Anolis sagrei: one gene and its partners. The protein of the gene in region 2 interacts with the protein of the main gene of each other region in a pairwise test. Links are inferred from orthologs where the notes say so. Each region holds a gene or a part of one and is shown on either strand. Other genes may lie near its edges.

Region 1 (7,449 bases), on a different chromosome or scaffold from region 2:
GGGGAGATAAGAGAGAGAAAGACAGAGAAGGGGGAGCGAGAGAAAGAAAGACACAATGAGAAGGGGAAATAGAGAGAATGACGGGGAAGAGAAACATAGAGAAAGAGAAGAGAAGGAGAAAGAGTAGTGAGAGGAGGACAACTGCAAGGCTGACCCAGATATGTATATATCTATTGCCACTACATCACCTACTTGAATGAAATGAGGTGACCAGTTTAACCTGATTAGCCCTACTCTGGCCAAGTCCTCTAGAAAAGAAGCCAGAAACCTAACAACAACAACTGGCTTCTCTTTCCTTCCACTGGCTCCCTGGTCTACCTGGCGATGACTCCTTTGCCTACGTGACTGACTTAATAAGGAAATAAAGGAACAGGGTGGTGGTGCTGAAGATAAACCTGTCCTCCATTCACTTGGCTTCTCTTCCTTAAGGGAGGAGGAAGGTACACACCAAAAGTCACCCTTAAAAAACAAAACAAAAAGTCTGGTTGGGGCAAAGAACTGGCTGGACCAGCAAGCCTGCCTTCTCCACATCCACCCCTTGATGCCAGCCAGGCCTTGCTTTGCCCCCTTGCAAAAACTCAAATGAGAGAAAGGAGGAGGAAGACTTAAAAATAAAACCACCTTTATTGAAGTCTTGGCCTTGCGCTCCATACCATCCACCCGCAAACAATACCCAGAGCGAGCCACTTCTTCATGGAAATATAAATAAATAAATAAATAAAAGAAGGCAAGCCAGCAACAAAGGCGAAGCAGCGGAGTTGGACTGCAATGGAAAAAATCTGCGCTGGGGAGCGAAACAGAAGGGGGAGCCTTGCTTTTTCCTATACGGAACCCCTTTCTATTCTTCTAAACCCAAGGAGATAGAAACAAAAACAATCTGAAGCATGCAAACAATGAAGTTGAAAACCAAGGAAGTTAGATGTTGAAATAAACAGACCAGGTTAAGATAATACCTGGCTTTCTTAGAGGGAGGAGGAAGGGAGACAGAAAGGGGAATCCTTATTTTTCTTCCTATAATGATCCCATTTCAACCTAAGAAACCAAAACACAGTCTGAAGCATGCAAACAATGAAGTTAAAGACCAAGGAAGTTAGATATTGAAATAAACAGACCAGGTTAAGATGATACCTGGCTTTTCTTGGGGGGGGGGGGGGGAGAGAAGGAGAGGGAGACAGAAGGGGGAATCCTTATTTTTCTTTCTATCATGATCCCATTTCCCAGCTTTTCAACCTGAGATACCAAAACACAGTTTGAAGCATGTAAACAATGAAGTTAAAGACCAAGGAAGTGAGATGCTTTATAAAATAGGCTGGGAAAATGCTTGGATTTGGGGGGGGGGGGGGACAGAAGAGGGGCTCTTTAAAAAAAAAATAAGGACCCCCCTATGGAACAATTAGAACCACTGTAAGGGCCTGTCTTTCTTTCTTTCTTTTCTGCCTTCCCTTCTTCCTTTTCTCTTTTTCCTCCTGACCTTCGGGGTGATTAAACTGGCTGCATCCACTGAGTCCCGGCTTGTTATTGTTCTCGACAGACGCTGCAAAACGAGCCATTCTCGGCGGATTATTCTTTTTCGCTGACGGCAACATGAGCCAAAAAAAAGGAAGGGGGGAGGAGAAAAAAAAGAAAGGGGAGAGAGCAATATTTGGCTAAGATTTCCCCCCACAAAGGGGGGCAAAAGGGGGAGATCCTATCCGTGCCTGTCTATCTCGTCCCCCCTTTTGTTCCATTTCACTGGATTTTCTCCTCTTAAGCTCGCAAAGGGAGGGGGAGGCGAGTTGACCAATATAAACAAGCCTTTTTTCCTCCCTTCCTTTAAATATATATATTGGATTTCCCTTTGCAAAGAGTCATAAAGTTTGTTTTGCATTCCCTGCTCCAGATCCCCCCCCCCTCCCGTTGCCTAGTTTGGTCAGTTTCCTGGCATTTCTTGACATATTAAGTGCCTCCTTTGAAGAGCAAAACATGTCATAAAAATCCTATGAAGACATGGAGAGAGAAAAAAAAGGGGAAGAGGGTGTTTTTGTTTCCAAGAGAGGTTTCCCTAAATGGATCATTCTCACTCTCCCTTCCCCCCTTCTTTAAATGGTGCATTCTTTGTGTTGTCGAAGGCTTTCATGGCCGGAATCACTAGGTTGCTGTAAGTTTTCCGGGCTGTATGGCCATGTTCCAGAAGCATTCTCTCCTGACGTTTCGCCTGCATCTGTGGCAGGCATAGCCTGCCACAGATGCAGGCGAAACGTCCGGAGAGAATGCTTCTGGAACATGGCCATACAGCCCGGAAAACTTACAGCAGCCCAGTGCATTCTTTCTTTCTGCTGGACCTGAAACTAGCCACAGTTTAATCTGGCTCAATTGGTTCAGTCTTGTTGCATATTTTCATATTTCCACCTCCTGTTGTCACTGGATAGAGTGATGTTCTGACTGATTTTCCACCTTTATCACTTGTTATTGTTATTTTTTGTCCTCCTCTAAGAAGCAGCAGCAGCAGGCAGGCAGGCAGGCAGGGAGGAGCAGGAGCCCAAGCCCAACTCCACTTACTTTTGTTTTCCTTCTCGATCTGCTCCAGGTAGCTGGCTGCCTCCAGCAGGATCTGCACATTCTGGAGGAAAGTGTTGATCCGCTCCATGGAGTCCTTCTCCTCCTCCTCGCTGCTGGGGTGGTTGAAGATGTCACTCAAGGGCCACCTGGGCAGCGCCTCCGACCCCGAAGGCAGACCCGGAGCCTGGGGCGCAGGAGGAGGAAGAGGAAGAGGAGGAGGATGCCCCGCAACCACCACCACCGCAGCAGCAGCAGCAGCAGCCCCCTCGCCCCGCAGCTCCTTCCTCGGCCTGCCACGTTTCCCCATGTCGCTCCTGCGGGTGGAAACTTTGGGGTTTCTAAAGCCCTTTTGGCCGACTTTCCTCCTCTTGTTGCAGTTTGTGTGTGTGTGTGCTTGCGTGCGTGCGCGCGCCTGCCTGTGTGAGCCAGCCAGCGAGCCAGCCAGTGTGTATATGTCTAGGAGAGATTGAATGAATCAAGGGACCTCTTCATTCAAAGACTCCCCGCAGGTCCTAGTGCGAGCTGGGTTTCCCTTTCGCGCGGCTATCCGTAGGTCTATCTAGTCTCTCTCTCTCACACACATACACCTCTCTCTTTCATCTATTGGTCTACCTATCCCATTCTCTCTCTCATCTATCCATCTATCTATTCTCATACACACTCTCTTTCGTCTATCCCCATCTCTCTGTCAAACACACTTCTCTCTTTTATGCATTTGACAATCTCTCTCTCTCTCTCTCATATCCCTCTATTCCAGTGTTTCTCAGCCTAGGGGTCGGGACCCCTGAGGGGGTCGCGAAGGATGTCAGAGAGGTCGCCAAAGACCATCAGAAAACACAGTATTTTCTGGTGGTCATGGGGATTCCATATGGGAAGTTTGAGCCAATTCTATCGTTGGTGGAGTTCAGAATGTTCTTTGATTGTAATGAACTATAAATCCCAGCAGCTACAACTCCCAAAAGTCAAGGTCTATTTTCCCCAAGCTCCACCAGTGTTCACATTTGCGCATATTGAGTATTTGTGCCAAGTTTGGTCCAGATCCACAGTGCTCTCTGGATATAGGTGACCTACAACTCCCAAACTCAAGGTCAATACAAACCAAACCCTTCCAGTGTTTTCCATTGGTCATGGGAGTTCTGTGTGGCAAATTAGGTTCAAATCCATCGCTGGTGGAGTTCAGAATGCTCTTTGATTATAGGTGAACTATAAATCCCAGCAACTACAACTCCCAAATTACAAAATCAATCCTCCCCTAACCCCACTAGCATTTACATGTGGTTGCATTGGGTATTTGTGCCCAGTTTGGTCCAGTGAATGAAAATACATCTTGCATATCTGATATTTACATGATTTATAACAGTGGTAAAATGACTGTTATGAAGTAGCAACGAAAACAATATTATGGTTGGGGGTCACCACAACATGAGGGACTGTATTAAGGGGTCACGGCATTAGGAAGGTTGAGAACCACTGGTCTATTCCCATCTGTCTCTCTCTCTTACCTCTCTCTCTCTCTCTCTCTCTCTTTCATCAATTTGTCTATCTGGTCATTCTCTCTCTCAACTAATAGTCCAGTGGTTTCCCAACCTGTGGGTCCCCAGATATTTTTTGCCTTCAACTCCCAAAAATCCTAACAGCTGGTAAACTGGCTGGGATTTCTGGGAGTTGTAGGCCAAAACACGTGGGGATCCACAGGTTGAGAACCACTGTAATAGTCAATCCCATCTCTCTCTCATACACACACACACCTCCCCCTTCTTTCGTCTCTTTATCTATCCCCCCCCCCTCTCTCTCCCTCTCTCATCTATCTGTCTATTCCCATCTGTCTCTCTCACACACCTCTCTCTCTCTCTCTCTCTCTCTTTCATCTATTTCTCTCTCTCTGGCCATTCTCTCAACTATTAGTCTATCTATTCCCATCTCTCTCACACACACACACACTCATCTCTCTCATCAATTTGTCTATCTGGCCATTCTCTCTCTCAACTAATAGTCCCGTGGTTCTCAACCTGGGGTCCCCAGATGTTTTTAGCCTTCAACTCCCAGAAATCCTAACAGCTGGTACACTGGCTGGGATTTCTGGGAGTTGTAGGCCAAAACACCTGGGGACCCACAGGTTGAGAACCACTGTAATAGTAAATCTATTCCCATCTCTCTCTCATACACCCCCCCCCCTTCTTTCATCTGTTTATCTATCCCATTCTCTCTGTCTTCCATCTATCTATCCCCAACTCTCTCATACACACACTCTCTTTAATCTATCTTCATCTCTCTCTCAAACACACTTTTCTCTCTTTTATGTATTTGACAATCTGTCCCATTCTCTTTCTATCTCTCATCTACCTGTCTATTCCCATCTCTCTCATACACACACACACACCTACCTCTCTTTCATCTATTTGTTTATCTGGCCATTCTCTCTCTCAACTATTAGTCTATCTATTCCCATCTCTTTCTCATACACACACACCTCCTCCCCCCTTTCATCTATTTATCTATCCATCCCATTCTCTCTCTCTCTCTCTCTCTCTCTCTCTCTCTCATCTATGTATCCCCAACTCTCCCACACACACTCTCTTTTATCTATTCCCATCTCTCTCTCAAACACACTTCACTTTTATCTATTTAATAATCTATTCAATCCTCTCTCTCTCTCTCTCTTTCTCTCTCATCTATCCGTCTATTCCCATCTGTCTCTCATATACACACACACCCCTCTCTCTCTTTCATCTATTTGTCTATCTGGCCATTCTCTCTCTCAGCTATTAGTCAATCTATTCCCATCTCTCTCTCATACATACACACACACACCTCCCCCTTCTTTCATCTACTTATCTATCCAATTCTCTCTCTCTCTTCCATCTATCAATTGCCAACTCTCTCATACACACACTCTCTGTTTCATCTATCCCCCCCTCTCTCAAACACACTTCTCTCACTCTTATCTATTTGACAATCTATCCCATTCTCTATCTATCTATCTATCTATCTATCTATCTATCTATCTATCCCTCTATCCCTCTATTCCCATCTATCTCTCATACACCTCTCTCTCTCTCTCTCTCATTTATTTGTCTATCTGGCTATTCTCTCTCTCAACTATTAGTCTATCTATTCCCATCTCTCTCTCATACACACACACCTCCCTGCTTCTTTCATCTATTTATCTATCCCATTCTCTCTCTCTCTCTCTCATCTATCCATCTATCTATCCCCAAATCTCTCATACACACATTTTCTTTTTCATCTATTTGTCTATCTGGCCATTCTTTCACTCAACTTGACATAGCAAGGCATTTCTCTGCTTTATTTATTTATTTAAAGCATTTATATTCAGCCCTTCTCACCCCGAAGGGGACTCAGGGTGGAGCACAAAATATAAATGGCAAACATACAATGCTGAAACATATTAGACCATACACATACAAAAGCATTAAAATCACTTATCTTGATGTTAACATCCACTAGTCAAAACTGTCTCAACAACCATATGGAATATGGTTGGCATACTAAGGGTTCCTATCGCTGCCTCATTGCACAGTCCCAAAGGCTCGGTCCCACAGCCACGTTTTTATCATCCTTCTAAAGGACAAGAGGGAGAGGGCTGACCTGATCTCATTAGGAAGGGGGTTCCATAGCTGAGGGGCAATTACTGAGAAGGCCCTGTCTCTTGTCCTCGCCAAATGCGCCTGTGATGGTGGTGGGACTGAGAGCAGGGCTTCCCCAGAAGATCTTAATCTCTGTGGTGGTTCATAGAGGGAGATGCATTCGGACAGGTAAATTGGGCCAGGGCTGTTGAATATGGACTGTAAGTTTCTCGGTCGAAGGAATGTGTCAATATTGGGTGGATCTACACCATAGAATGAATGTAGTTTGACACCACCTGAACTGTCATGGCTCAATGTTGTGGGATTCTGGGAGTTGTGGATTCATGAGGCACCAGTACTCTTTGGCAGAGGAGGCTAATGATCTTGTAAATCTACAACTCCCAGGACTCTACCGATCTGCCTCAGTTAAAGTGGTGGCAAGCAGCATTCCTTCCATATTGTAAATGCACCCTTTTTCTCTGTCTCTCTCTGTGTAAAAAGCAGCATAGAATTGAAAGATTTTTTTTGCATTTTTCCTTTCCCCCCTTGTCTCCCTCTTTCTTTTTCTATCAAGATTAAGTAGATATTGTATCATTTGTGAAGGCCACTCAAACTATTATTTTTTAAAAGATAATAAAGCACTGCACTTCAGAACCCATTTGCAGTTGGCCTTTTGTGTCCGTGGATTCAGCCATTCACAGATTCAGTCATCCCTGGCTTATATTTTAATCATGGGTCCCTGTCTTTTAATACATGTGTTTTAATGATCTTATTATATTAATCTATGTATTATTGTATCCTGCCTCAAGCCTTGATGAAGGCTTGGAGGAGGAGGAGGAGGAAGAGGAGGAGGAGGAGGAAGAGGAAGAGGAAGAGGAAAACTTGAGCATCTATAGATTTTGGTATCTATGGGTTGTTCTGGAACTAAACTCCAACCAATAGTATGGGCCCACTGTATGCAGTTAAGCTGTTGCCATATTGCTTCCTTTTGAGCCAAAGTCTATTTATTTATTTACTTACTTACTTACAGCATTTATATTCCGCCCTTCTCACCCTGAAGGGAACTCAAGGCAGATCACAGAACACATACATGGCAAACATTCAATGCCGTTAAACAGATAGGACAGACAACAGATAGAGGTATGTTTTATGTTGACAATTTTCCCATCTTTGTTGTCCTGGAGGTTTTGCTCAATTCCAGCCACAGGGGGCGCTGTTGCTCCATCCTCTATAACAAAGAGCCTTGATCACAGACTTCTTCCTTTCGATTGCTGGCATTTTTCTGGTATTTATTTTATGGTGCTGTAAAATACCTCCCCGCTTA
Region 2 (7,056 bases):
TTGTTTTATTTATTATTTTTGTCTTGACTTGTTGTTTGTCTGTTTTAGGCAGTGAATGTCTGCCATTTTTGTTACTAACCACCCTGAGTCCTGTCCCCCCCAGGAGAGAGGGCAGGTTAGAAATAAAGTATTTTTACTTAAGAACCACGATAATACAATCTTACTCTATATAATGGAATATGAGCATTCACAGATATTGGTATCAATGAGAGTCCTGGAACCAAATCCCAAAAATTACCAAGAAGCTTCAAATTGTTCAACGGACAGCAGCTGGTAAATAAAGGATCGTAGAATCTGCTTATCCAACACAAACGGGATGACAGAACACTGGATAATGTTGGATAATATGGAGGGATTAAGAAAAAGCCTATTAAACATCAAATTGTGCTATGATTTTATAAATTAAGCACCAAAACATCATGTTTTACAACAAATGACAGAAAAAGCAGTTTAATACATGGTAACGTTAGGTAGTAATTACTGTATTTATGAATTTAGCACCAAAACATTGCAATGTATTGAAACAGGCAGACTGTATTGGATAATACAGAACTTTGGATGAGCGAAGGTTGGATAATCAAGACTCCACTGTACTTGCAAAGAGACAACACTTTCTGTATATATTTCAGATTTCAATATTAATGTCAAAAATACATACTATGATTTTATATAGGATTTGAGCTACATTAGAACAGTAAAGACAAATATCACTTAAGCAAAATAAACATTAAATAACCAGAAAATAAAATAAGGTGTAAACACTAAACTAACCTGGAAATCTGCTATTGCAACACATCCAATTAAGTGGTTTAAAACCAGTATCAAAAAGATTTGGACTAAGTACGTTCCAGTCTACTTGGAATACACGAAGCTCATTCCAGAAGCGTGTTTAAGAACTGGCCCAAGAGTCCAGAAGAGCCACCCCCCTTATCAATCCCCTCCATCTCATTAATAATAAGAGTTTTCTTTGGCCAGCACCTTAATCACTCTGACTTGGACACCACCTCAGCCCTGGCCAGCACCTTAATCACTCTGACTTGGACACCACCTCAGCCCTGTTGACTTGTAAATGCCTTTTTTACTTATAATGTTTGAGTGTTTGCTATCATTAGATCTAGTAGTAAACATGTTCTAAATGTTTGATTTATATATTTAAATATCTAAGTTTGTTATTTTTGAGTTGTTCTATAAGTACACCTGATGTTGTTTATTTTATTGTTTATGATTTGATTTGATTTGTTTATGTTATGCCGGCATTGAATGTTTGCCAATCTTCTGTTGTAAACCGCCCTGAGTCCCCTCGGGGAGATACGACGGTATAGAAATAAAGTTTATTTTATTTTATCTTGGCGACTTGGTTTGTGAATTTATTCTGTTGTATTTAACTTTTTGATGTGATTATGTTTTTAATTGTATTTGTGTACTAATTTATGCTGTAAGCCGGCCCAAGTCCCTCTGTAGAGGTTGAGAAGACTGGGGTATAAAAGTTTTATACGGCCCAATTTACCTGTCCGAACGAATCCTCCCCTATGAGCTATCAAGATTACTAAGATCTTCTGGAGGGGCACTGCTCTCGATCCCACCGGCCTCACAGGCGCGGCTGGTGGGGACGAGAGACAGGGCCTTCTCGGTGTTGGCCCCTTGACTCTGGAACTCCCTTCCACTGGAGATCAGAACTGCCCCTTCGATCTTAACACTCAGGAAACAGGTGAAAACCTGGCTTTGGGGATTGGCATTCAATGAATGAGCCGTGATCCTGTGATATGGATGGATGACGACGAATAATGACTTTGATGACGACTAACCACTGTAATCATATGATTGTATTTTTGTCATTTTAATTGTTTCAATATTTTAATGTTTTAGTGTGATTTAGAAATATTATGTTTTAATGGCGGTCTGTAATATTGATGTTGGAAATGGCCCCGAGTCCCTCGAATGGAGGTGAGAAGACCGGTATACAAAACTACCAAATAAATAAATAAATAAAATATTATTTACACCTGCCAGCATCTCCCCAATGGGGACTCGGGGTGGGTAACATGAGGAGAAGCCCAAGAATAATACACCAGACCAATATAAAACAATTTTTTAAAAAAATTAAACACAAACAAAATGCACAATGCAACATCCTTCCCATCTCCTTTCCTCTTACCCACCCACCCCCAGCCAACGCATACTGAACAGTATTCCAATTTCAAACCTTTATTTTGCCATTTTCTTACTATGCCACTGTACATAATCCCACCCACGTCTAGCCAAACATGTACTCAAAATCCCAAATCCTAGGAGTATTTAGAAAGGCACAAGACTTCGAATCCAGCTGCCCACTGTCCCCAACTCCCCATCGTAACTCCCCCCAACTCCTTCCCTCCTCATCCCCCTCCCCTCTCCCACCAGTTACCCAAACACGTCCCAGGCCTACCTCGATTCCAACCTCCTTCCTCCCAGACACAACTGACCCCGCCTCCCTCCCCTTTACTACTTCCGGGGGCGAGCAGGCCCTCCCTCCCTCCCTCACCCCGGGGGGCCTACTGGGGGGGGGCTTCTCCCTTCCTGAGGGGCCCCATTGAAGCGAAGGGAAGGCAGAGAGGCGTCGCGCAGACTGAACCTTTGGCTGTGAGGCAGGGCGAACGAGAGAGGGGCCGAGGCGCCACTACTGTCAGCAGCCTCTCTGCGGGACGGTGGAAACTCACGTCGCTCTCCACCTCGATGTCATCGTTGTCGCTCATGCTGCCCACGGTGGCGGTGGTGGTGGCGGCGGCGGCGGGGTCTCCTCCGGGGCCTTGCTGGGCCGAGCCGCCGCGGAGAGGAGCAGCGACAGCGACGGCGTCGGCGACGACAACAGGCCCCTGGCAGCAACAGCGTCGCCGTCTCTTCTCCTCCTCCTTCCTCTTCCTCCGTCGTCGTCGTCGTCTCCTCCTCTTCCCTCACCAGCATCAACGGAACACGCACCTCGCGCCGCACGTGACGAATGCCCCCCCTCTTTTTTTCTCCCTTCTTTTACCACAGATACATCCAACGACTCAGCAAAGCATGCCGGGGGATGAAGTCCTTCCGCCAGCACAGCGCCCGCGAGAGCACGCCGCTCTGAACTACCCTTCCCGAGAGCCTCTTGGGCGGGGGCGGGCGTTGGATGCCGCCGCGCGCGCATGCGCCTTGGCTCAGCGGTCGCTGATAGGAAACGGAGTTCCTGAGCGAAAGAGGAAGGGCTCTGCTTCCCGGCAGGCTGAGGAAGAGGACACGTGGATGGAAGCCGGAAGGGGACGCTTTTAACCACCTCCCCCCTTTCGCTTCTGGACGGTGTTTTTCTCGTTCTTTTAAAGAGCCAGGAGAGAGATTCGAAGAGGGAAGGAAGCTGTGCCGATTATGTAACCCGACCCTGGCTGTTTGTAGTCAAAGAGAATAAGGGGCACAAACAACAACACAGCACGACGTGTCACGTTTAGAAACCACTTGAGGAGCGTCTACACAGTGGAATAAGCGTAGTTTCACTCCCAATTTAATTGCTATGGCTCCATCCATTGAAAACATGAGAATTGTAGTGAAGGGGACAAGGACGAGGATTTCATTTGAACCTCAATTAATTTGATTAATCAATTAATCAATTGATTAATTTGATTAATCAATAGTATATTTATTTACAGTAGGGGTCCTCAAACTTTTTAAACAGAGGTCCAGGTCACAGTCCCTCAAGCTGCTGGATTATAATTTGAAAAAAGCATTCATGCTTTCCTATGCACACTGCACATATCTTATTTGTAATACAAAAAACACTTAAAAAACAATACAATAATTAAAATGAAGAACAATTTTAACAAATATAAACTTATTAGTATTTCATCGGGAAGTGTGGACCTGCTTTTGGCTGATGAGATAGGATTGGTGTTGTTGTGTGCTTTCAAGTCATTTCAGACTTAGGTTGACCCTAAGCCAGTGCCGGGTAAATGACCTTGGAGGGCTGTATCTGGCCCCTGGCCTTAGTTTGAGGACCCCTGGTCTACACAGTGGAAGAAGTGTAGTTTCACTCCAATTTAATTGCTATGGATCAATCCATTGAAATCATGAGAGTTGTAGTGAAGGCAGGCATGTAGCCAGGGCTTGAGGGGCTTCACACCCCCCCTCCCCGAAATTCTCATGGTGGTTCGCGAAAAGGCCTTACTCGTGCATTATTTAAACTGTTATGTTTATTCATATCATGATCTGATCACCATGCTCAATATATCCCATATGCATGGGGGTATTGGAGTAACTATACAAAAGGTTTGCTAGGGTAGACCCTCTTTCACTCAGACTCAGCCCCCCCCCCGAAACAAACTCAGCCCCCCCCCCCCCCGAATCGAAATCCTGGCTACGGGCCTGAGTGAAGGGGACAAGGACGAGGACCTCATTTGAATCTAATTTAATTTGATTAATAAATAGCAATAGTATATTTATTTATTTACAGTATTTATATTTCATCCTTCTCACCCCACAGGGGACTCAAGATGGAATGCAATGCACATATACATGGCAAACATCCAATGCCAATGGGATTTTGGCCTGCATCAATAGGAGCATAGTGTCTAGATCCAGGGAAGTCATGCTAAGGGGTGTATCATGACTTCCCTGGATCTAGACACTATGCTCCTGTTCTGCCTTGGTTAGACCACACCTGGAATATTGTGTCCAATTCTGGGCACCACAATTGAAGGGAGATATTGACAAGCTGGAATGTGTCCAGAGGAGGGCGACTAAAATGATCAAGGTTCTGAGGAACAAGCCCTGTGAGGAGCGGCTTAAAGAGCTGGGCATGTTTAGCCTGAAGAAGAGAAGGCTGAGAGGAGATATGATAGCCATGTATAAATATGTGAGAGGAAGTCACAGGGAGGAGGGAGCAAGCTTGTTTTCTGCTTCCCTGGAGACTAGGACATGGAACAATGGCTTCAAACTGCAAGAGAGGAGATTCCATCTGAACATGAGGAAGAACTTCCTGTGAGAGCCGTTCAGCAGTGGAACTCTCTGCCCTGGAGTGTGGTGGAGGCTCCTTATTTGGAGGCTTTTAAACAGGCTGGATGGCCATCTGTCAGGGGTGCTTTGAATGCAGTTTTCCTGCTTTTTGGCAGGGGGTTGGACCATAGCCCATGAGGTCTCTTCCAACTCTATGATTCTAATGCCATTAAGGAGCTCCATTGGCTGCCGTTTATTTTCCGGTCCCAATTTAAGGTACAGGTGATCACCTATAAAGCCCTAAACAGTTTGGAACCCACCTACCTCCTTCCACAAACCAGCCCGCTCTCTTTGATCTTCGGGAGAGGCCCTCCTTTCGCCCTTCCTCTCTCACAGGCCTGGCTTATGGGAATGACGGAGAGAGCCATCTCCTCCGTGGCCCCACTACTCTGGGTAAGATTAGGCAGCCTTCAAGAAGGATCTCAAAACCTGGCTTTTCTGCTGCGCTTTTGGAGAGTGACCCTACATCTCCTTTTGTTTGCTCCCCCATAATGTCTGTCCCCACACTGTACTTCCCCCTGCCTGTTTGAAGGTCTGTCTCCATTACTCCATTTTCCAATGAGTTTCTCCTTCACAATTATTTGCATTTAATTTCTATCTCATCCTGAGTTTTTATCATTTTAACTTGTACATATGGCCCACTCACTGTGATTGTGATTTATCTATTACTGTATTTTTGTATTATTTTATTGTATTTTTATGTTTTATTTGTTTTATTGTGATGTTTGTTTGTTTGTTTGTTTGTTTTTGGCTTTATTTTGTTGTAATGCATTTCTGGGCTTGGCCTCATGTAAGCTGGACCGAGTCCCCATTGGGGAGATGGTGGAGGGGTATAAATAAAGTTTAATAATAATAATAATAATAATAATAATAATAATAATAATAATAAACATAAATAGACAGACACAGAGGCAATTTAACATTTCCAGCTTTTCTGGCTTCATGAGGGTATGCTCGGTTCCAGCCACAGGGGAGCTGCCACTTCACCGTCCACTTGTGACACTGAGTCCTTTGATGAAGTACTTCCTCATTATTCTGCACACTGCTGGAAGATTTTATGGCATCGTAAATTAGTTGAATTAGCCTCCCCTCATAAAGCAGTACCCAAATTTCCTACTTGACAGATGCAACTGTCTTTTAGGCTACATTGGTCAACAACAAGCTAGACTATTAATGGTCGGGAGCTTACTCTGACCCAGGCTGGCTTCGACCTCATGACTTCTCATTCAGTAGTGATTTAATGCAGCTGGCTACTAACTAGCTGTGCCACAGCCTGGTCCTTGCACTTAGTATAGAAAAAAAGGGCTAGATAAATAAACTCAGTTTCTTCAATGTTAGAAGAATTTAGCCATGAGAAACTCGCACACATACACAGGAAAAGGCTCACATAAACAGAACAAAGAAAACATTCATCAAACTGAATCCTAAGGAGAGAAGCAGGGCAATAAACAGGGCATTACCTTCTTTAGATATGCAAAATGTCAAGCTAAAGAACTCACACAGGCAAAAATTTAAGACAGATTTAAGACAGATCAAACAAAACAGTGTTTGATGGATTGGACCAGATGGTATTTGATATACAGTAGAGTCTCACTTATCCAACATAAACGGACCGGCAGAACGTTGGATAAGCGAAAATGTTGGATAATATGGAGGGATCAAGCAAAAGCTTATTAAGTGTCAAATTACATTATGATTTTACAAATTAAGCACCAAAACATATTTGATACTGGTCAAAGGACATTTAACCAAATACCAAATTTACAAAATCTGTGTGGTTTTTTTTTCTTTTTTCTTTTCTTTTTCATTTTAATCTCTGTGTTTGTTTTGCTCTGTTAGAATTGTAAAACAATGGTTGCTGATGACACGATAAATAAATAAATATTTGAAATCCAAAACACCTGGAAGACAAAAGTTGGGAACACTCTCGTATACTGTATATTAACCATTTCTAGAATCCCATATTTAAGCATAGGAATGGCAGCACTGGAAAACCAGAGTTTTCTGAACACTGATATTGGTCAACGATCTCCAGAATCTCATCTGGAGCTGGGTGGCTCTGTGTTG
Region 3 (7,267 bases), on a different chromosome or scaffold from region 2:
ATCTCTCTCCAGCCTTGAAACTGGTACGGGAGAACTCTGCTGTTGTCAGCAATTCTCAGTAACAGCTGATGGAATCCATGACAAGAGCAGAGAACAGCATTAGCTGGGCTTCTCCAGAACCAAAACAGAGAAACAAGAAAGAGCAGAGATTTCCCCCTTGGGGAACCCCAGCCATGATGCTTCTGTCATCACAGTGCAACGAAACTATGCGTAATTAAGTATCTACCTTAAGCCGACTAAGGGGCATATCCTTCTAGTGCTGCATGTTGAGTCCTTGCACAATACCCTCTAATTCTAGCTGTTGCACAGGTCTGCACTAGCACAGCCCCACCCTCTTCTCCATGAGGCAATGCCTCGTGCCCCTCCCTTCCCCACAGAAGAGCCACCTTTTGTTTCTTGTCCAGATCCTTCTCTTCGTTGTCAAGCAGCAACTTGAACATCTGTTCCACTTTGGAGTCGGTGCAGGACATGTTTCTCATCTGAGACAAAGTGAATAGAGGCGCTTGGCTTCCTCTGTCCGGCTTCAAGCCTCTCTAGGGACTGTGGGGAAGGAGGCCAGCCCCAATTTGGGGAGTCCCTGCACCTTGGGCAAGGCCAGGGAGGGCTGGCTGTGGAGAGGGACTCCTTTGGGGCCACAGGGTGTTGCTTGTTTCCTGCAGCAGCAGCCACCACCTTGTTCACCCGCCCACTCCTACCTTCTCCTGCATGCTGCTGCCAAGGCTGCGCAGGGCCTCCTGGAAGGCCTTGTTCCGGGGCTCCAGGCTGATGCAGCGCTGCAGGTCCTGGATGGCCTGGTCTGGGCGGCCCAGCTGCTGGAGGGCCTGGCTGCGGCGGAAGAGGCTCTTAACATCCCGCCCATCCACTTTGAGGGCTAGAGAAATGGAAAGAATTGCAGAATAACAGAATCAGGGGATCCCGCGGGTCATCTATTCTCAATAATAATAGCCATAGTAATAATGAATATGGATAGTTCAGTGGTTCTCAATCTATGGGTCCCCAGATGTTTTGGCCTTCAACTCCCAGAAACTCTAACTGCTGGTAAACTGGCTGGGATTTCTGGGAGTTGTAGGCCAAAACACCTGGGGATCTACAGGTTTGTTTTTTTTTCTTGGGGTTGTCAGAAGCAACTTGAGAAACTACAAGACGCCTCTGGTGTGAGAGAATTGGCCGTCTGCAAGGACATTGCCCAGGGGACACCCAGATGTTTTGATGTTTTTACCATTCTTGTGGGAGGCTTCTCTCATGTCCCCACATGAGGAGCTGGAGCTGATAGAGGGAGCTCATCTGCGCTCTCCCAGGATTCGAACCTGTGACCTCTCGGTCTTCAGTCCTGCCAGCACATGGGTTTAACCAACTGTGCCACCGGGGGCTCTTTACCTAAAGGTTGAGAACCACTGGTGTAGTTGGAAGAAGTCCAAAACACTTGGAGGGCCCAAGGTAGTCCAGGCCTTGTTTAGACATCCCTTTCTGAAAGTCCTCCCCAGTTGCACATTCGAGGCAAATTGGAACTCGCTTTCCCAGCAGCACTTCGTGCTACACAAGTATTGAAGGAGCCTTGTGTTCCCTCCCGGGGCATGATGGGAGTTGAACGTTTTCCCTGTGTGTGTTTCTCATTTTCTTTCTCCGCCAATCAGAGGTCTGGCTTAAGCAGCTGAGGGGGAAAAAGAAAGGGCCTGAGGCTGTTAGGAATTGTGGGAGTTAGAGTCCAAAACACTTGGAGGGAGGGCTGATGCTTGCCCATGCCTGGACTACATGGCATTTGGGGCCCCCTCCTAACTTTGCTTCCGCTTCCCTGCAGCGAGGTCCTGGCAGATGAGTCGGTGGCCTGCCTGAGCCAGGCCTTGAGGCACCTGCATGACATCTGGGAGGAGATCGGCATCTCCGAGGAGCAGCGCCTGGAGCGCACCCAGGTGGTCCGGAAGCACGTCAAGGTGGGCAGAGCCAAGCGGATGGGGAATCAAATAATTGCAAATGGCATGGATACTTATTGGATGATAGGCTACAGGGTGATATCATTGAAAGGAGAACCACATACACTCACGGATCTGGTAAGGACCATGAGCCTATGTATGTATGAAGAGAGATATTGACAAGCTGGAATGTGTCCAGAGGAGGAGGACTGAAATGCTCAAGGGTCTGGAGAACAAGCCCTATGAGGAGCGGCTTAAAGAGATGGGCATGTTTAGCCTGAAGAAGAGAAGGCTGAGAGGAGACATGATAGCCCTGTATAAATATGTGAGAGGAAGTCATAGGGAGGAGGGAGCAAGCTTGTTTTCTGCTGCCCTGAAGACTAGGATGTGGAATAATGGCTTCAAACTACAAGAAAAGAGATTCCATCTGAACACGAGAAATAACTTCCTGACTGTGGGAGCCATTCAGCAGTGGAACTCTCTGCTCCGGAGCGTGATGGAGGCTCTTTCTTTGGAAGCTTTGAAACAGAGGCTGGATGGCCATCTGTCGGGGATGCTTTGAATGCAATATTCCTGCTTCTTGGCAGAATGGGGTTGGACTGGATGGCCCATGAGGTCCCTTCCGACTCTATGATTCTACGTTGGCCCATGCCTGAACTATAGAATCCTAGAGCCATTGCCCCACCCGGCCAGCCAGCCTCTTGGGCTCCTTACCTTCGGAGGCATCCAGCTCGGCTTGGGCATAGTCCTCCTGCGAGAGAAAGGGGGAGAGAGAGGGTGAGGAGGCAGGCCCCGCTTAAGGCCCCGTCTCCCCCACTCTGCGCCCTCCCCATTTCGGGCCCTGACCAGCTTGAGCGCGCAGGCGGCACGGTTCCGGTGTAAGAGGCCCTTCTCGGCGCGTTCCTCCAGGCTGCAGAGGCCGAGGGCGCGGGTGTACACGGCCAGGGCCTCCTCGAAGCGCCCAGCCTGGTAGAGCACATTCCCTTCGCGGCGAAGCTCCGAAGAGGCAGTGGAAGCCTCAGCTGTCTCCGCCATGGCGCGCTCAGGTGACGTCAGGGTAGACCGCCCTGATGTCTTACCTTGTCGCCTTCCACTCTCACGTCACTTCCGGTCTGGAGTAGGGCGCAGCAGCGGATGCGGAAGAAAAGTTGTCTGGCGCGGGCTTGGAGGCGGAAGCGGAAGTTGCGTCGGGTGTGACAGAAGTGGAGCCCGTCGAGGGCCATGAGCGCCAGGAGGAGGACGCCGTAGAGCCCCGCCGCCAGCGCTGGGGGAGCAGGGAGGGCCCTTCCGCTAAGGAAGAAAGGGAAGGAGAGGCCTTAGTCAGGCGGAGCGGAAGAAGGGAGGACCCATTGTATTGTCGAAGGCTTTCATGGCTGGAATCACTCGGTTCTTGTGGTTTTTTTCGGACTATAGGGCCATGTTCTAGAGGCATTTCTCCTGACGTTTCGCCTGCATCTATGGCAAGCATCCTCAGAGGTAGTGAGGTCTGTTGGAAATAGGAAAATGGGTTTATATATCTGTGGAATGGCTGGGGTGGGGCAAGGAGCTCTTCCCTGCTGGAGCTAGGTGTGAGTGTTTCAACTGACCACCTGTTTGGGTATCAGCCAGCACGCCAACGACTTAAATCTAGACATAGTTTTCTAAGATCTACAGAGACACTCGCTAGAAGACCTCAGCAAGCGAGAGTCCAAAAGTGGCAGGCTCAAACCCAGAACCTCAACCAATGGCTGATACCAAATGAGAGACTCGCTCCTGGGCATACAGAAGACTGGGTGACTTGGAAGGCATTAAACAGACTGCACTCTGGCACCACGAGATGCAGAGCCAACCTTCAGAAATGGGGCTACAAAGTAGAATCCTCGACATGCGAGTGTGGAAAAGAGCAAACCACTGACCACCTGCTGCAATGCAACCCGAGCCCTGCCACATGCACAATGGAGGACCTTCTTGCAGCAACACTGGAAGCACTCCAAGTGGCCAGATACTGGTCAAAGGACATTTAACCAGCTACCAAACTCACAAGTTGTGTATTTTTCTGTTAGTTTGCTTTGTCCTGTTAGAAGTGTAATATAATGGACTGGCTGCTCTGACACGGCAAATAAATAACTGACCACCTTCATTAGCATTTGAAGGCCTGGCTGAGCCTGAGAAAATCTTTTGTTGAGAGGTGTTAAGATGTGCCTGGTTGTTTCCTCTCTGCTGTTTTGCTGCTGTAATTTTAGAGTTTTTAAATACTGGTAGCCAGATTTTGTTCATTTTCATGGTCTCTTCCTTTCTGTTGAAATTGTCCACATGCTTGTGGATTTCAATGGCTTCTCTGTGTAGCCTGACATGGTGGTTGTTAGAATGGTCCAGCATTTCTGTGTTCTCAAATAATATGCTGTGCCCAGGCTGGTTCATCAGGTGCTCTGCTATGGCTGACTTCTCTGGTTGAAGTAGTCTGCAGTGCTTTTCCTTGATTCATGTTTGGGCAATGCTGCGTTTGGTGGTCCCTATGTAGACTTGTCCACAGCTGCATGGTATACGGTAGACTCCTGCTGAAGTGAGAGGATCCCTCTTGTCCTTTGCTGAACGTAGCATTTGTTGGATTTTCTTGGTGGGTTTGTAGATTGTTTGTATGTTGTGTTTACCCATTACTCTGTACCCATTACTCTGGCCTGGCCCAGTTTTATTGTGTCTTAGTGTATTGTTTATTGCTTGTTGTTTATATTGCTTTAATTGTTTTGAATTTGCCTTTGGTTTGTATTGTTGTATTGTTTGTTGAGGCCTTGGCCTTTGTAAGCCGCATCGAGTCCTTCGGGAGATGAAAGCGGGGTACAAATAAAGTTTAATAATAATAATAATAAAAGGGAGAGGCAGCCCCGACTCTCCTCCTCACTCACCGGAAGAAGAACCTCCCTGAGCGGTTGGCAGCCCCTTCCTCTTCCTCCTCCTCTTTGGGATCCGGGCGCGCACAGCAGGAGCGGAAGCGGAGAGGAGCCCCCACATCCTGGGTCCCCCGGCAACAGAAGGCGTGTCCTGGGGGGTCGGAGAGGCGCGGGCAGAAGAAGGCGGCGTGGGGGCGGCCCTCGGGATCCTGGAAGGACTCGCACAGGCTCCCCTCCTGGGCCCCCACTGAAGGAAGGGAGGGAGAAGGAAGAAGGTTGGGAAGGAAGACATGCACAATGGGTGACGCTTGGCTTCACAACAGTCCCTGCGAAATCACTGGGTTGTTGTAGGTTTTTCCGGGCTATATGGCCATGTTCTAGAGGCATTCTCTCCTGACGTTTCGCCTGCATCTATGGCAAGCATCTTCCAGAGGATGCTTGCCATAGAAGTCTTCATGGACCGCAAGTTGAACATGAGCCAATAGTGTGATGCAGCATTTTAAACACACAATGAGATTTTGGACTGCGTCAAAGGAGTTATAGAATCAGAGAGTTAGAAGAGACCTCATGGGCCATCCAGTCCAACCCCATTCTTCCAAGAAAAAGGAATATTGCATTCAAATCACCCCTGACAGATGGCCATCCAGCCTCTGCTTAAAAGCTTCCAAAGAAGGATCCTCCACCACACTCCAGGGCAGAGAGAACAGCTCTCACAGTCAGGAAGTTCTTCCTCATGTTCAGATGGAGTCTCCTCTCTTGTAGTTTGAAGCCATTGTTCCGCGTCCTAGTCTCCAAGGAAGCAGAAAACAAGCTTGCTCCATCCTCCCTGAGGCTTCCTCTCACATATTTATACATGGCTATCATATCTCCTCTCATATCTCCTTCTCTTCTTCAGGCTAAACATGCCCAGCTCCTTAAGCCGCTCCTCATTGGGCTTGTTCTCCAGACCTTTGACCATTTTAGTCGCCCTCCTCTGGACACATTCCAGTTTGTCAATATCTCTCTTGAATTGTGGTGCCCAGAATTAGGTGTGGTTAGGTGTGGTCTAACCAAAGCGGAATAGAGCATGGGGAGCATGACTTCCCTAGATCTAGACACTATGCTCCTATTGATGCAGACGAAATCCCATTGGCTTTTTTGCCGCCACATCACATTGTTGGCTCATGTTTAACGTGCTGTCCACGAGGATTCCAAGTTGTTTTTCACATGTACTGCTCTCAAGCCAGGCATTGTCCCCCATTCTGTATCTTTGCATTTCATTTTTTCTGCCTAAGTGGAGTATCTTGCATTTGTCCCTGTTGAACTTCATTTTGTTAGTTTTGGCCCATCTCTCTAATCTGTCAAGATCGTTTTGAATCCTGCTCCTGTCCTCTGGAGTATTGGCTATACCTCCCAATTTGGTGTCTAGTGTCTAGATCAGGCATGGACAAAGGACCAGGCTGTAGTGCAGCTAGATATTAGCCAGCTGCTTCAAATCGCTACTGACTGAGAGGTCACGAGTTCAAAGCCAGCCCAGGTCAGAGTAGTAGTAGAAATAATAATAACACTTTCTTTATATTCGGCTCTTCTCACCTCGAAGGGGACTCAAGGCGGATCACAGTACACATACATGGCAAACATTCAATGCCGCTTTGTATAGACCAGGGGTTCTCAAACTTTTTAAACAGAGGGCCAAGTCACAGTCCCTCAAACTGTTGGAGGGCCGGATTATAATTTGGAAAAAATATGAATAAATTCCTGTGCACACTACACATACCTTATTTGTAGTGCAAAAATACTTAAAACAATACAATAATTAAAATGAAGAACAGTTTTAACAATTATAAACTTACTAGTATTTTAATGGGAAGTGTGGGCCTGCTTTTGGCTGATGAGATAGGATTGTTGTTGTTGCTGTGTGCTTTCAAGTCGTTTCAGACTTGGGTTGACCCTGAGCGAGGGCCAGGTAAATGACCTTGGAGGGCCGTATCTGCCCCCAGGCCTTAGTTTGAGGACCCCTGGTATAGACAATACACAGAACAGAAGAAGGTGCCATGGAAGGTTGGGCTCAAGTCCAGGGGGTGCTGTTGCTCATTCCTCTATGACTTCCTCCTTCCTTTTGGTCGCCCAGTATTTTCTGATCTTTTTTCTTTATGGCGTCATATTTACCTATTTATCCGTACTTAATTTCTCTAATCACAGCTAAAGCTGTTTTCGAATTGCTTAGGTAAACAATGAGCTAGGTTGACAGTTGGCAGCTCACACCAACCCAGGGTTTTGAACTTGCAACCTTTTGATTGATAGATCTTATAATTGCTGACTTACCAGCTGTGCTAGACCTCCAGCCCAACTATAAGCTCCCAACTATTAATTGTCTAGCTTGCTGTCAACAATAGCTCCCAACTATTAATAGTCTAGCCAGTAGACTGTTAGGAATTGTGGGAATTGAAGTCCAAAACACTTGTGGGCCCCAAATTTGCCCAGGCATGGTCTAGATCGAGGGAAGTCATG
Region 4 (7,773 bases), on a different chromosome or scaffold from region 2:
ATTTCATTTTCCTCACTTCCTGTTTTTTATCCCATCACCCACCATTTCACGCTCGGTTTTAATTATACTCTTTTGGGATTTCTTTTTGCTCCTTTAGGTCCTCTATTTGCCACTTCTAAATATTTTTCTACCTTTGCAAACTTTGGCTTTCTCCCAAGCAAACTGCCACCTTACTCTTATACTTGGATGGTGACGTTTTGGTTACATAAGGAAAAACACTTGGAGAACCGAGCTTGTTAATAATACTCATGATGACATCTGGTTTAGTCAGATATTAAGCTGGAAAGTTAAGCATTGATGTTTCTTATGAAATAGATTGCCTTGCATAAAAATACTGTCTTGACACAATGCAAGGGTGCATTTTAACAGAAGCAAAAAAAAAAAAGCAAAAATGCAATTTTTGAAACAACTTGATATATTGACAAGGAACACAGTGGTGATAAACATCATAACTACTGTTTATAACCATCGTAAAAAAAAGGTAAATGTATACTATAGTATGAAACTGCACATTTGTCAAAGAAACAGACTTTTAAATAAACTATACACGAGGAGACAGGAATGTGCATTTCTCAAGGATGAACTTTACAACCATTTTAGGGAAAAGGCCAAAGGGAAGTGATATGTGTTTATAAGGGGCTCAACTGAGACGTGTAAATGGGATTGGACGCACTGAAGGGAGCATGTCTAAATGATTGGTCGCATGGAAATAAAGGAAGCCTTGCTCAGGTTCAATGCCATAAAGTCTAAAAGAATGATTAAAGAGATACTGCTGTTCACCAACACTTAAAGAAATAATGGCTGTATTATTCACGTGTCAAACCCAACACAGTCATCTCCAAAAATCTGTATTCTTAAAATGTACTGTTATTAGAGATGTATTCTGTGAGCAGTCCATATATGGCAGTATGCCGCTCTGGTTCTGAATGAGTTGAAAGTGGTTTGAGGTTGAAGGCATACTCCGCGTGTGTGGCTTGTCATTGTGGTTGCTGGCTGTGTGATGTGTGTTTGTGGGTGCTACAGGGACAATTCAAACACTGGGACCTAATGAAAAGGCACAATATTTCTGCTGGCTATTCCAGTTAGTTGGCCATTTGTCATGCTATGGATCTCTTTGTTTATCTAAATCTATTCATCCAGTATTTATATCCTCTTCTTCAACCACAAAGGGCCCTTTCACACAGCTGAATAACATTCAATTTTCTGCTTTAAACTAGAATATATGGCAGTGTGGACTCAGATAACCCAGTTCAAAGCAGATGTTGTGGGATCTTCTGCCTTGATATTATGGGTTACATGGGTGTGTGGAAGGGCCCCCAGTGTCTCAGAGCAACTTACAAAATTTTCCTGGCAATCTACCACAAATAGGACAAGACACAAAAGGAGAAGAGGATGGTAGTGGGGAAGGAGATTAAATCTATCAGATGCTTCCTAGTACCATTAGCTATTTTCTCCCTAACTCTGGGCCCTTCCACACTGCCCCTTTATCCCAGGATCTGATCCCAGATTATCTGTTTATCCCAGGTTATCTGGCAGTGGGGACTCATATATTTAATCTTAAAGCAGATAATCTGGGATCAGATACTGGTTTAAAAGGCTGTGTGGAAGGGCCCTCTATTAACAATCAATTTACACTCAGTTCTTGTGGATTTTTTCGGGCTATATGGCCATGTTCTAGAGGCATTTCTCCTGACGTTTCGCCTGCATCTATGGCAGGCATCCTCAGAGGGTGAGGGTGGCTCAGATAACCCAGTTCAAAGCAGATATTGTGGGATTTTTTTGCCCTATATTCTGGGATATAGGGCTGTGTGAAAGGGCCCTTTGCCACTCACCAAACCTTGCTCACTCAGCTTGCTCTCCAGTACTTGGGTTCTGTTTTGGCAACAGAAGGAACAATATTCTGTCCAAAGAACAGAAATAGAGGACATTCAATTGGAAAAGAAAGTCAAAATTCAAGTTTAGCAGCCATGACACAGCATTCAGTGCTAACAGGCTGTTTATAGTTACCTGTAGCTCAATGCAAACTTGGGCCCTCCCGCTAGATGTTTTGGACTCCGGACTCCCACCATTCCTAACAGCCTCAGGCCCAAGGTTTGTAGCTTGGGAGTTTTCCTGGATTCATTGTTGAGCCTGGAATTCCAGGACTTGGCAGTGGCCAGAGGTGCTTTTGCACAATTAAAACTTGTTGCACCCGTACCTTGGGAAGTCTGACTTGGCCATGCTCTTGTTACATCAAAGATAGACTACTGCAACACACACAATTTTTTTTGAGTGAAGGCCATACATTGGGTTGTTAGGTGTCTTGTGTCCAAATTTGGTCTCAATTCATCCAGTGGTTTTTGAGTTTTGTTAATTCCACAAACGAACATTACATTTTTATTTATATAGAAGATTGTAGGTACATATAACTTACTAGCTGTCCCCTGCCACGCATTGCTGTGGCTCAGTCTGTGATCTGGAAAATAAAGTAATGAGAAAGTGTTGGTTTCTAATATATGTAATTTCTTTATGCTTGTGGGTTAACAGTATTTCTTGCTGTTTCTTTGTCAGTGTTGATGTCAAGAGTGTCAGGTTTGCCCACTTTGAAACATGCAACTATAACTGTCCTTCTTTAGGGGTCCCTTTCAAATCTATGATACTATATCTCTCTGTGTGTGAATCATATCTATCTATCTATCTATCTATCTATCTATCTATCTATCTATCTATCTCTATTCCTGGATGGCTCTTTGTCAGGAGGACTTTGATTACCTTTTCTTGCCCTGATGAAGGGAGTTGGATTGGATCGCCTTAAGTATTTTCTGTTGTCATGGGGGTTGTGTGCGGGAAGTTAGCCCCAAATCTGTTGTTTGTGGGGTTCAGAATGCTCTTAGATTGTAGGTGAACTGTGAATCCCAGTGACTACAACTTCCAAATGTCAAGGTCTATTTTTCCCAAATCCACCTGTGCTCATATTTGGGCGTATTGAGTGCTTGTGCCAAGTTTGGTTCAGATCCATCATTGTTTGAGTCCACAGTGCTCTCTGGATTTTTTTTGTCGTGTTAGGAGCAACCGCTCCTGTTGTGAGAGAATTGGCCGTCGGCAAGGACTTGCCCAGGGGACGCCTGGATGATTTTTGATGTTTTATCATCCTTGTGGGAGCCTTCTCTCATATCCCCGCAAGAGGAGCTGGAGCTAATAGAGGGAGCTCATGCACCTCTCCCCGGATTCGAACCTGCTCTCTGGATGTAGGTGAACTACAACTCCCAAACTCAAGGTCAATGTCCACCAAATCATTCTAGTCTTTTCTGTTGGTCATGGGAGTCCTGTGTGTCACCTTTGGTCCAATTCCATCATTGGTGGAGTTCAGAATGCTCTTTGATTGTAGGTGAACTATAAATCCCAAGAACTACAACTCCCAAATGACAAAATCAGAAAGTTTTGAGTGAAGGCCATACATTGGGTTGTTAGGTGTCTTGTGTCCAAATTTGGTGTCAATTCGCCCAGTGGTTTTTGAGTTATGTTAATCTTACAAACGAACATTACATTTTTATTTATATAGAAGATTGTATTGTCGAAGGCTTTCATGGCCGGGATCACTGGGTTGTTATAGGTTTTTCTGGGCTATATGGCCATGTTCTGGAGGCAATTTTTCTCCTGACGTTTCGCCTGCATCTATGGCAAGCATCCTCAGAGGTAGTGGGGTCTGTTGGTAGTAGGAAAAATGGGTTTATATATCTGTGGAATGACCAGGGTAATGTTTCAGCTGATTATTATTATTATTATTAAACTTTATTTGTACAAGCATGTGGACAATTTCTGTTGAAATTGTCCACATGCTTGTGGATATCAAAGGCTTCTCTGTGTAGTCTGACATGGTGGTTGTGAGAGTGGTCCAGCACTTCTGTGTTCTCAAATAGCATCTCCCGAAGGATTCGATGTGGCTTACACAGGCCGAGGCCTCAACACACAACACAACAATACAATCTAAGCAAATCAAACAATTAAAAACAGAATAAAGCAAAATAAACAACAGGCACAATACACTAAACACAATAAAACTGGGCCGGGCCAGAGCAATGGGTACAAGATTAAAAGTGCTGATGTGACAGGAGGTGTATATAGGGCTTCCAGGGCAAGTGCGATGTGCGATGTGCAGCAATCATTGGTTCTGATAAAGTGCTTATGGGACTTGGTAGTGGAGATTTCCTAATCTGGGAAGGTGCATTGGAAAAGCCAGGTCTTCAAGTTCTTTCTGAAGACAGCCAATGTAGGAGCCTGTCTAAGGTCTTTGGGGAGGGTGTTCCAGAGTCGGGGGGGGCCACCACGGAAAAGGCCCTGTCCCGCGTCCCCACCAAGCGCGCTTGCGACGCTGGTGGGATCACGAGCACCTTGATTTGTATTCAATGGCCTGGAAGCGCCTGGGGGGAATCTCTTGTTGAGAGTGAATTGAAGTGCCTGATTGTATAGAGAAGATTATAGGTACATATAACTTGTAAGCTGCCGTGAGTCCCCTTCGGGGTGAGAAGGGCGGCGTATAAATGTCGAAAATAAAGAAATAAATGAGGCAAATAAATAAATAAATAGGAATGGAGGGAGTTGAGAGTCCAAAACAGCTGAAGAGAGGGCCCAAGTTTGCTCAGGCCTGGTGTAGAGGCGTCCAAAGAGGAGCTCTGAGGGTGAAAACCGTGGGGGCGGCCTACCTCCCTCCCTCCCAAGATGGCGGCGGCCCCTCCTCCTCCTTCTCCCTGGGGCGGGATGATGGCGCCTCCTCCTCCTCCTCTCTCTCTCCCTCTCCGGGCGGGGCAGCAGGACTTCCAGCAGTAGCAGCAGCCGTCGACGGAGCGAGAGGAGAGGAAAGGGAGCCGGGCAGGAGGGCGCCCATCGGCTTCTCCGTAAGCAACCTCTCGGCGCCGCTTTTTTTGGGGAGGGAAGAGGGAGTGAGGGAAGGAAGGAGAAACTTTGCCTCGCGCTCCTCCTCGGGGAACCCGCGGCCATGTTGGGATGGGATCCCGCCACTCGGGGGATCTCTTCCCGTGAGGAGGGGAGGGGAGAAAGGAGAAAGCGAGGCCCGGGGGGGGGGGGGGGAGGACGGGTCTCTCGGCTCCTTTCGTGCCCGTCGAGGGCCGGCTGCTTGGACGACAATTTGGCCGAACTCTTGCCCACTTCCGCGTGTGTTTCCCAAAGTGTGACAAACTGAGGAGGGAGGGAGGGAAACTCCTGGCCCTCAGGGGATGGATGCCCCCCCCCCCCCAAATAGGCACAGCCCCAGCAAGTAGGCATTCGGATAGTTGTGTGTATATATGTAATGTGTGTGTGTGTTGAAGAAAGGATTGCAAACTTCACTTTCACAATTTCTCTTGCCATTTTGCCACACCTTGCTTACTACTGGAAGTGTTATTTCTGTCAAAGTTGTGTACAAAACTGAAGAAAAGGGGATTCATTTACACATACACACATACAGAGAGAATCACACACACACATACAAATGCATCACTTTGCTTACTACTGGGAAGTTGTGTTCCTGTCAATGTTGTGTACAAAACTGAAGAAAAGGGGATTCATTTACACATACATACAGAGAGAGAATCACACACACGCAAATGAATCACTTTGCTTACTACTGGGAAGTTGTGTTCCTGTCAGAGTTGTGTACAAAACTGAAGGAAAGGGGATTCGTTTACACATACACACATACAGAGAGAATCACACACACACACAAATGCATCACTTTGCTTACTACTGGAAGCGTTATTCCTGTCAAGGTTGTGGACAAAACTGAAGAAAAGGGGATTCATTTACACATACACACAGAGAGAGAATCACACACACACACAAATGCATCACTTTGCTTACTACTGGAAGCATTATTCCTGTCAAGGTTGTGGACAAAACTGAAGAAAAGGGGATTCATTTACACATACACACAGAGAGAGAATCACACACACAAATGCATCACTTTGCTTACTACTGGGAAGTTGTGTTCCTGTCAAGGTTGTGTACAAAACATAAATAATGTCTCTGTTTATGTAGAATAAAGGATTGCAAACTTCACTTTTGCACTTTCCTTTGCCATTTTGCCACACTTTGCTTACTACTGGAAGCTTTATTCCTGTCAAAGTTGTGTACAAAACTGAAGAAAAGGGGATTCATTTACACATAGAGAGAATCACACACACACATACACACACACACACAAATGCATCACTTTGCTTACTATTGGGAAGTTGTATTCCTGTCAAAGTTGTGTACAAAACTGTAGAGAACGGGATTCGCATACTCACAAATATGCACAGTCACACACACACACACACACACATATACACACATACATGCATCATGCTTTGCTTACTATTGGGAAGCTTTATTCCTGTCAATGTTGTGTACAAAACTGAAGCGGAGATTCATATGTGTACATAAATAATGTCTCTGTGTTTGTGTGTATAATTTATAGATAGATAGATAGATAGATAGATAGATAGATAGATAGATAGATAGATAGAGAGGGAGAGAGAGAATAGAGGATTGCAAACTTCACTTTTGCACTTTCTTTTGCCATTTTGCCACACTTTGCTTACTACTGGAAGCTTTATTCCTGTCAAGGTTGTGTACAAAACTGAATACATACACACATATAGAGAGAATCACACACACACACACACACACACACAGAAATGAATCTTTTTGCTTACTACTGGAAGTGTTATTCCTGTCAAAATTGTGTACAAAACTGAAGAAAAGGGGATTCATTTACACATACACACATACAGAGAGAATCACACACACATGCATCACTTTGCTTACTACTGGGAAGTTGTGTTCCTGTCAGTGTTGTGTACAAAACTATAGAGAACGGATGCATTTACACACAAATATGCACAGTCTCTCCCATATATATATATATATATATATACACACACACACACACACACACACACACACACACACACACATGCATGCATCACGCTTTGCTTACTATTGGGAAGCTTTATTCCTGTCAGAGTTGTGTACAAAACTGAAGCGGAGATTCATATGTGTGCATATATAATGTCTGTGTTTGTGTGTATTATATATATATATATATATATATATATATTGAAGAAAGGATTGCAAACTTCACCTTTGCACTTTCTCTTGCCATTTTGCCATACCTTGCTTACTACTGGAAGCTTTATCCTTGTCAAAGTTGTGTAGAAAACTGAAGAGGAGATTCATATGTGTGCATATATGATGTCCCTCTGTGTATATAATTTTTTTATATATATAGAGAGAGAGAGAGAAAAGAAGAGATTGCGAACTTCACTTCTGCAATTTCTCTTGCCATTTTGCCACACCTTGCTTACTACGGGGAAGTTGTATTCCTGTCAACGTTGTGTACAAAACTGTAGAGAACAGGATTCATTTACACACAAATATGCACAGTCACACACACACACACACATATATACACACACATACATGCATCACACTTTGCTTACTATTGGCAAGCTTTATTCCTGTCAAGGTTGTGTACAAAACTGAAAAGGAGGAGATTCATATGTGTGCATATATAATATGTGCATGTGTGTATATATGTGTGTGTGTGTTTAAGAAGGAATTGCAACCTTCACTTTCACAATATCTTGCCATTTTGCCACACCTCGCTTACTATTGGAAGCTTACTCCTGTTCAAATTGTGTACAAAACCGAAGAGGAGGAGCTTCATAATACAGTGTGTGTGTGTGTGTGTGTGTGCGCGCGAGGGTTTGAAACTTCACTTCCACAATTTCTCTTGACATTTGCACTTGGGTTATT

What was found.
Region 1: the proteins of MAX (region 2) and MXI1 interact in binary tests that used the Homo sapiens proteins (3 or more experiments, as listed by UniProt). The link is inferred for Anolis sagrei from reciprocal best matches to the Homo sapiens genes MAX and MXI1.
Region 3: the proteins of MAX (region 2) and UNC45A interact in binary tests that used the Homo sapiens proteins (3 or more experiments, as listed by UniProt). The two-hybrid records come from large-scale screens. The link is inferred for Anolis sagrei from reciprocal best matches to the Homo sapiens genes MAX and UNC45A.
Region 4: the proteins of MAX (region 2) and PLEKHF2 interact in binary tests that used the Homo sapiens proteins (3 or more experiments, as listed by UniProt). The two-hybrid records come from large-scale screens. The link is inferred for Anolis sagrei from reciprocal best matches to the Homo sapiens genes MAX and PLEKHF2.

Annotation. Positions count from the first base shown.
Region 1 is NC_090023.1:210,017,261-210,024,709, forward strand, and holds the start of MXI1 (max-interacting protein 1), read right to left. Parts: upstream 3,011-7,449; 5' UTR 2,846-3,010; coding exon 2,539-2,845; intron 1-2,538. UniProt on the Homo sapiens protein: Transcriptional repressor. MXI1 binds with MAX to form a sequence-specific DNA-binding protein complex which recognizes the core sequence 5'-CAC[GA]TG-3'. MXI1 thus antagonizes MYC transcriptional activity by competing for MAX.
Region 2 is NC_090021.1:232,298,967-232,306,022, forward strand, and holds the start of MAX (protein max), read right to left. Parts: upstream 3,012-7,056; 5' UTR 2,733-3,011; coding exon 2,697-2,732; intron 1-2,696. UniProt on the Homo sapiens protein: Transcription regulator. Forms a sequence-specific DNA-binding protein complex with MYC or MAD which recognizes the core sequence 5'-CAC[GA]TG-3'. The MYC:MAX complex is a transcriptional activator, whereas the MAD:MAX complex is a repressor.
Region 3 is NC_090029.1:22,659,867-22,667,133, reverse strand, and holds the start of UNC45A (protein unc-45 homolog A), read right to left. Parts: upstream 3,009-7,267; 5' UTR 2,946-3,008; coding exon 2,757-2,945; intron 2,662-2,756; coding exon 2,625-2,661; intron 872-2,624; coding exon 696-871; intron 480-695; coding exon 387-479; intron 1-386.
Region 4 is NC_090024.1:33,460,229-33,468,001, reverse strand, and holds the start of PLEKHF2 (pleckstrin homology domain-containing family F member 2), read left to right. Parts: upstream 1-4,750; 5' UTR 4,751-4,874; intron 4,875-7,773. UniProt on the Homo sapiens protein: May play a role in early endosome fusion upstream of RAB5, hence regulating receptor trafficking and fluid-phase transport. Enhances cellular sensitivity to TNF-induced apoptosis.